Linked DNA regions of Arabidopsis thaliana. The protein of the gene in region 1 interacts with the protein of each later gene in a pairwise test. Each region holds a gene or a part of one and is shown on either strand. Other genes may lie near its edges.

Region 1 (4,550 bases):
CAGCGAAAGCTTCTTTGATCCTAACGCAATCAAATCTTCTAATGTTATGACCTGCCCAAATCCTACCGTTCAACAAACCATGGATTTTCTCAGCCACGTCTTCAAAACTTGGTGCGTTCGTAACCTTAGCCCTGGTGATCCCATCTGACCTAGACGACCTTATTGAGACCACCGACAAGTCTTTAGGTTGTATAAGCGTTGTGAAGCTCTCTAGCTCCTCGAGTTTTTTTGGACATACGATGATCGCCCCAAACTCTAGTATGTGAAAATGTTGCCCTGCTTTGTTTGGTACGTTTGTTTCTAGATCGAAGAAGACGATTTCGTTGGGAAATGTTTGGACCGCCATATCAGATTTTGGTTTATGTTCGGTTTGTTAATCCTGTGAGTAGGTATGTGTATATATTGTGGATTTGGGGTTTGCGTTTTCTTGTGATAAAAGTTAAGCGTAGATTTGTGTTGGAGGGTTACTGTGGGGATTATTTAGCTTCGCGGAGAAAATTTTGCTCTGTAGGGTAAAGTAAGAATCTTTACTTTGCTTTTTCCAAACCAATAAAAAAGGGTTGTTATATGAAAGAATTCGTTGGTAGATTCATGTTCTACGAGAATTGATTCCTTTGATATTGTCATAAAGATATACAAGGAATCTGAAAGCTGAAAGGGAAAATTTCTCTCAAAAACTGGTAATATCCCAAATTATTGATCCTTATATGATCCTCTCAACGGGAATATTCAACTCAAAATACATGGCTTTAAATATTTGATTTACCCAAAATCTCTGTGCATAGGAAGAGTTGCAAGAACACACATTCTTCATTAGTGGTTAACGGCAAATGCAAAAAAACGTTATAAGAAGATGAATATGAGAAAACGAATGCAGGAAGTTACCAAGTGTTTGGGGGCAACAAACCATTTGCTAGCTTACACAACAGAAAACTACAACGAATTTGAAGCCGGTAATTGCAACAACAGAGTCTCCAGCTGAGGCCAAACCCACCAAGATTTGTTTCATCATTGAAGACATAAACTCTTTGACTAATTACCTTTGTTTGGAATGAAAACCTGCAATTTTGAATGCTAGATGATCAATTTGCATACCTCCAATGGAAATTATATGAAACCAAAACAGAGAACAAGAAGTTTAGGGCGCTAGAGAATATCATCTCTCTTATCTACCTAACCAGATTGTTTCATATTCTTAAGACTTCACAATTTATCGAAGTCATCATAACATCACCAATCAGTTCTTAGACATGCCAAAACCTAAAAAAGGGAAAAATTCAAGAATGAAACAAGAACAGAGACAATACCTCAAACTCTGGTACAAGATGAATCAAAGTCATCAGGAGCAACACGTGCAATCCAATTGTTTAACGTCCGCTTAACATCAGTATGATTAACATAAGCCAACTCATACATACTACACAAATTCACCACCAAGCTCTCGTTCAAAGCCGCGGTTGGCACTCTCTCCAATGCACTTTCCATCACCTTAATCGCATCCGATAGATCTCTCAAGTACATCAAACAAAGAGCCTTATTGTTGACAGCGATAATATCAGAGTTATCCCTTTCAATGCATTTGTCATACTCTCTCACAGCAGAAACATAGTCCTTTGCCACAACATAAACCAAAGCCTTATTCCTACCAACAAGATTGTTGAACTGTATCTCGTTCAATAAACCATTGCTCTTTCCTTCATTCAACATCTTCTCAACTCTATCAAACGTAGTTTTAGCTCCTTCTACATCACCAAACTGCATCTGAACAGACCCTAGTTTCGAAATCAAAACCGGGTCTAACGGATCACGATTGATCAATTCCTTCATCAAATCCAAAGACACCCCAAATTCCTTGTGACCTAAATGAAACCCTAGCAAGCAATTCATCACAAATGTCTCTCTTTTCTTCCACAATTCCACAGAACTCTCTAAACTCTGAGATTCTTTCTCTCTGATTCGATCTCGAACAAAGTCAAGCAAAACATATAAACGATCTAACCCTTCCTGACGATTACCAAGCTTAGTCGGGATCAAAGCGTAGAGCCATCGTAAAGAGAAAGGAACCATAGATCCTCTCCGATTAGGGTAAATCTCAGGGAACGATTCGTACCTGTAATGCGTCCCGTCGAAATCGTGCAAGGAATTAAGCTCATGAGAAGCTTCATCGGAGCGACGAAGCTTCGCGAGAGCCATAACTTGGTAAGTGAGATAAGTGAGATGCTCGTGAGGCTTTGTGAGGAGGAAGAGAGCTCTGGCTTGAGATATCTTCTCGAGGATCGCTTGCCATGAGCCACGGGTCGAAAGCTCGTGGAGCGAGCCGAGATCGTGTGTTAATTCGTCGAGCGAATTGAATCGTTCCGGTGGTAGATCGGCGACGGATGTGACTTGGGATGAGGCTAATTCGAATGCCGTCGGTTCCCCTGCATCGGTTGACTCTGCCATGGCGGTGGAATCAGTGGAGGAGGGATTGAATTCGGGTCGGGTTTCGGATTCGGGTAAATCCGGATCCATTGCTGGAGATGACTCCGTGAACATTGTGGAAGTAACCTGGTTTGGTCTTTGGATTTGGGTCGTCTTTCCAATAGATACCATTACGCTAAATTCTTCTTTTTGGCATAAAAATTTAGATTATTTTTTATTAAAAAAAAACATTTGATATGATTATGATTTTAGGCGGTTTATTAAGATTTTTTTATAATTAGATCAAAAATAATTAGATCAAATACTAAAATTGGAGGAGAATCCAAACTTTGGATTTCATATATTTTATTTTTTAATTCACTAGAAATGAAACAATAATTAAATCCAAAATTACAATTAACTTGTCTCGGATCGATTGATCAATGTTGATTTTTTGTCTTATGACTTTTCTTCGTGTAACGAAAGGAGTTACTTAAATGGTGGAGTAATGGTAATAAATACCATGTTATAATATTGTTACATACTGATAATATTATTTTCCCCATGTTACATGTTACATCATTGATTTTTACGTAGATATTTAATATAACGACCAAAAAAAATTAAGCTCTGACTTGGTCCAAGAGATTTTTTCTCGATTCTTACCATTGACCCTGAGCTAAGACTTGACCAAATTAAAAGTCTATGTGGAATGTACTGCAATAAGTAAGTCTTTTTAATTAACTAAAGAATTTCAGACCTAACCCCATATTTTTTTCGGATAAGGGGTATGAACATGTAAATTATTCAATTTTCTATTGTAGGTATTTAAATTCGAGATTTTTAAAAAATGAAATGAGTGACTAACTAGCTAGTTCAAACCGTAAAACCTATTATTCATTTAATGATTTGATTAAGTATTTTGTTTTAACAATAGTTTAGGCTTTAAAAATCTTACAATCAAACATCAAAATATAATGTGGTTTTACTACGGAAAAAGGAAAAGCAGTGTAGAAGCATCGAACATACTTGACTTTTATGACTTACAAAACACATGAGGTACACAGAATCATATACTACAATTTTACTTTGCTAATAAAAGTCGATGTATTATTATTAGAAATTATCACTAAATCGTAGAAAAGTGAAACGCGTTTTCTCTCCAGTTTTTCTCCAAAAGACAAATGAGTTATCTGTAAACACATGACATGCAATGATCTATCGTTATGTATATATGAATTGATTAATCTCGAACTATATATTGAAATCTCAGCTTCTTATCTTCTTTGATTCTTGGAGACACGATTGGAAAAATGATGAGACCGAAGAGATCATCAGACACAGTCCATGTCTTCAATCTTATGGTCCTCTGTTTCATTGCCCTGTTTTTTTCTTCCGTCCTCTGTCAGGGAAAGATCCGGAGATTCAAATGGGAAGTGAAGTACGAGTTCAAGTCACCGGATTGTTTCGAGAAGCTAGTAATCACAATCAATGGTAAGTTTCCAGGTCCCACCATTAAAGCTCAACAAGGTGACACCATCGTTGTCGAGCTCAAGAATAGCTTCATGACTGAAAATGTCGCTGTCCATTGGCATGGAATCCGACAGGTACGTAAACATCCTCGTAAGCACTCGGTGAATGACTGAAAAAGATTGATTTATATATGTTTCAGATTGGGACTCCATGGTTCGATGGAGTAGAAGGTGTTACTCAATGTCCAATTCTTCCTGGAGAAGTCTTCATTTACCAATTTGTCGTTGATAGGGTAAAGAGTTATAAAACTCACATTAAAGTTTCAATCTTTCTTTATGTTTTTATGTTAAGTTTTGAAATTTGTTTGTAGCCTGGTACATACATGTATCATTCACACTATGGGATGCAGAGAGAGTCTGGATTAATCGGAATGATTCAAGTTTCTCCTCCGGCCACAGAGCCCGAACCGTTTACATACGATTATGACCGGAACTTTTTGTTAACTGATTGGTATCACAAAAGTATGTCAGAGAAAGCCACCGGTTTAGCATCCATACCCTTCAAGTGGGTCGGTGAGCCACAAGTGAGTTCTTTTTTCCATCACTCAAAAGTCAGATTCTTGTTTGATCGATCAAATTTTATGTTTATGGATGATTCTTATTTGGATATATTATCAG
Region 2 (3,866 bases), on another chromosome or scaffold:
GACTTTTAATTTTGACCTCAATTTTTTATTTCCATTATGGTCCTTGTGTTGTTGTGTATTTAGCATTTTGTTTTTCTTGGGTCAATCAGCATCACCACGTTTAGGCCACGACATAAAATTGATCCGTTTATTTTTGAGGCTCGCTCGCATCTTCTTCCTCCTTTGGCGCAACCGCTTCTTCCTCTTCTATTCTCACAGATTTCTCTAAGCTCCCAACTTTGGAGCTAAAACTCAATCAACACTACTCACAATGCTACTCCATTTCTCTCCGGCGAAACCCCTCATTTCTCCACCCAATCTCCGCCGCAATTCACCCACATTCCTCATTTCCCCGCCGCGATCTCTTCGAATTCGAGCAATCGACGCCGCCCAAATCTTCGATTACGAAACCCAACTCAAATCCGAGTACCGCAAATCCTCTGCTCTCAAAATCGCCGTCTTGGGTTTCGGCAATTTCGGCCAATTCCTCTCCAAAACCCTAATTCGACACGGCCACGATCTAATCACTCACTCCCGCTCCGATTACTCCGACGCCGCAAACTCAATCGGAGCTCGTTTCTTCGATAACCCTCACGATCTCTGTGAACAACATCCCGACGTTGTCCTCCTCTGTACCTCAATCCTCTCCACAGAATCAGTCCTCAGATCATTCCCTTTCCAACGTCTCCGTCGTAGCACACTCTTCGTCGATGTTCTCTCCGTTAAGGAATTCCCAAAAGCCCTCTTCATTAAATACCTTCCTAAGGAGTTTGACATTCTCTGTACTCATCCAATGTTTGGACCTGAGAGTGGTAAGCATTCTTGGTCTGGCTTGCCCTTTGTCTACGATAAGGTGAGAATCGGAGACGCAGCTTCAAGACAAGAGAGGTGTGAGAAGTTTCTAAGAATTTTTGAGAATGAAGGTTGCAAGATGGTTGAAATGAGCTGTGAGAAGCATGATTATTACGCAGCTGGATCGCAATTCGTGACGCATACTATGGGAAGGGTTTTGGAGAAATATGGAGTTGAGTCTTCGCCGATTAACACCAAAGGTTATGAGACGTTGTTGGATTTGGTGGAGAACACATCGAGTGATAGCTTTGAGCTTTTCTACGGTTTGTTTATGTATAATCCGAATGCTCTTGAACAGTTGGAGAGATTGGATATGGCTTTTGAGTCTGTTAAGAAGGAGCTGTTTGGGAGATTACATCAGCAATACAGGAAGCAAATGTTTGGTGGGGAGGTTCAATCGCCCAAGAAAACTGAGCAGAAATTGCTCAATGATGGTGGTGTTGTTCCTATGAATGATATATCATCATCATCATCATCATCATCATCATCATCTTAAGATCACAAGTTTGATTGGATTATGCTAGATTCAAAAATAAAAAGTTGTGACTTTTTTGGAAAACGTCAAGAGTGGAAAATAAAAAAGGGATTTTGGTGTGTTCATATGTATGTTGGGGTCTCTTTTGGCTTGGTATCAATAAACTTGTCTTTTTTTCTCTAAATGTATCTGTGGAAATGCTTATCCCTCTGGTCGCCGGAAACAAATACGGACAAATTGTCTCCTTCTCCGGCCATATTTGTATTGGATCAACATTGTATTGCTCAAAAGTCATTACTGTTTTTCTCTGTCTCCAATGATCTCGGGTCACCCACCCGATTCGGATCAGGACAACATCGTTTCGTTATGGGCCGATTATATAATGGGCCGCTTGAATGTCTCGTCTTATTTAATTAAAAGAAAAAAACACATTTTAAATTTGAATGATTCACACGTGTGTTGTTGCCACCATAGTTGGTCGGAGCTTTTCCTCTTCCCAAAATTGTAACCCTAACCACGCACCGACGGCGAAAACTGATCGCGGGTTTTCGCATCTTTTACTTGCAAAGTCTTGGAAATGGAAGTGATGGACAAATGGGTAGCTGAATTTTTCCTCCGACGCCAACTAAATCCTAGGGTTTACGCTTTTCCACTGTTATCGGCTCTGAAACCAGTAGATTCCGACGACTGTGTAAAACTCAAGCTAACTGCTGTTTTGCGGGATATCTCCAATTCCATGATTCAAGGTACCGTAGACGAAGGAATGCTTGATCTCCTCGAAATTCTTGAGAAGCTTCTGTTACAGGAACATTCGGTTATCATGGGATCTCTCAAATCTGCGTATTGCTGGACTGCTGTGGAATGCACGCTTAGGTTTATGTGGCCAGTGAATGCTTCGGATGGCTTCTTCGGTGATGCCCTTGAGAGGATTTGGAGGAATCGGATTGGGACATTGAAGGAGAAAGAGAGCGACTTGGTGACTCGTGAGTTGTTGAAATGGGAGAGTGATCTAAACAAGGCGTTTGAGGAACCTGAGATTTACCAGAAGATTCGTGAGACTAACATCAGGTACAATGCCATCTCTCATCTTAATCAGCTTCTCAAAGAGCAGTGGGCACTACTTGGATGTTCTTCTCTTGAATCAGAAGCTCGAAAGAGGTTTCTTAAGCGTAAGGATTCACCATATGCTTCCCGGAGAGGAGGTAATAGAGAGAAAGCTAATGATGTTGAAGAAGTGGGTGGTGTGGAGAATCCTGATGGGGTTGGTAAGGTGAATGAACATGAACAGGAACACGAGCCAAGTCTTAATAAGGGGGAAATGTTGGTAGCTCGAGAGCTTAAGGATTTTTTGTTGGAGATTCAAAGACTCATCGACCCTATAACAAGGCAAGATCAAGAACCTAACAATGCAATGGAGCATTCAGTTGATGTCACTCCTCAGCCTGATGGGGCAAATAGGACTGATGCAGAAGATAGTGAGGGAACATCATCGTCTAGAAGAGTCAGGCCTCATCTACCAACCCCGGAACCTCTGAATGTATCACCGTTGAAGAAAGGAAGATTAGAAAGACCGCGTCCCAGAAGGCCAATGAAATTCTGGACTTCTGAAGAAGTGGCAGCTTTGAGGGAAGGAGTTAAAGAATATGGAAAATCATGGAAAGATATCAAGAATTCATACCCTGTTGTTTTCGCTGATAGGAGCGAGGTGGATTTGAAGGATAAGTGGAGGAATTTACTTGGTCGTCAGTAGTAGGAATCTTACCTTCTAACTTATGGGCATTTTGGTTTTGGGATCTTGTGTAGTTTTGCCGCTTGTGTTAGAAAGGGACTCACTTTTTGTACGGTGAAGGCTTTAATATGTTCTTGATTCAGGCTCTTGTAGTTAGTGTCAAGCTTTAGACGATATTTCTTGTTCAAAAATCTATTGACCAGTTGATTACAAAATGGAATGATTTTAAATATTTGGTCCTATAATCAAATCAAGCAAGCTCTGAAACCCATCTCTAACTCCTCCCGGTTCAAATTCTTGCCGATGAAAACAATCTTGTTGGTTCTTGTTTCATCTTTTCTCCATAACCGGTCAGGTGATCCTTCAAATATTTCATGAACTCCCTGTTCCAACCATTATAAACCACAAACGTCAGAGATAATTTACATCCCAAGGCTTCGATGCTTTAGAATTCATCCGAAATGATCAAAATAATGACAAAGGTTGGTCACCTGAAACACGAATCTCTCGTCCATGTCTTGTACGGAGAGGATACCTTTCATTCTGTAGATATCCTCACTACGTTGGTACAATAGCGCCCCAAGCCACATGTTAGCCTGATCCATTTTCAAAACTAAGGTTATAGATGATGCAAGTAATCAATCGCACATCTCAACAATCGTTTTAATTATAAGTAACACGTCAGGTGCTACAGTTTTATGCATCACATGTGACACAACTTGAGCCATATTGGGTTAATACCTTCTCGAGGTCTAAGTCTCCTTCGCAAACTATACTGACTGAACCAACACCAGGGTCATGGGTGTGATCATGAGAATGGTGATGCTCTGC

What was found.
Region 2: the proteins of AT4G39820 (region 1) and TRFL5 interact in a two-hybrid assay, tested with the Arabidopsis thaliana proteins (one large-scale study listed by BioGRID).

What each region holds. Positions count from the first base shown.
Region 1 is NC_003075.7:18,475,390-18,479,939, forward strand, and holds AT4G39820 (Tetratricopeptide repeat (TPR)-like superfamily protein), read right to left. Parts: upstream 2,672-4,550; 5' UTR 2,593-2,671; coding exon 1,309-2,592; 3' UTR 1,308-1,308; intron 1,060-1,307; 3' UTR 569-1,059; downstream 1-568. Other genes in the region: AT4G39810 (Polynucleotidyl transferase, ribonuclease H-like superfamily protein), read right to left, coding at 1-346; AT4G39830 (Cupredoxin superfamily protein), read left to right, coding at 3,714-4,007, 4,073-4,165, 4,244-4,456.
Region 2 is NC_003070.9:5,404,255-5,408,120, forward strand, and holds TRFL5 (TRF-like 5), read left to right. Parts: upstream 1-1,770; 5' UTR 1,771-1,883; coding exon 1,884-3,056; 3' UTR 3,057-3,232; downstream 3,233-3,866. Other genes in the region: AT1G15710 (prephenate dehydrogenase family protein), read left to right, coding at 251-1,327; AT1G15730 (Cobalamin biosynthesis CobW-like protein), read right to left, coding at 3,281-3,418, 3,527-3,631, 3,777-3,862.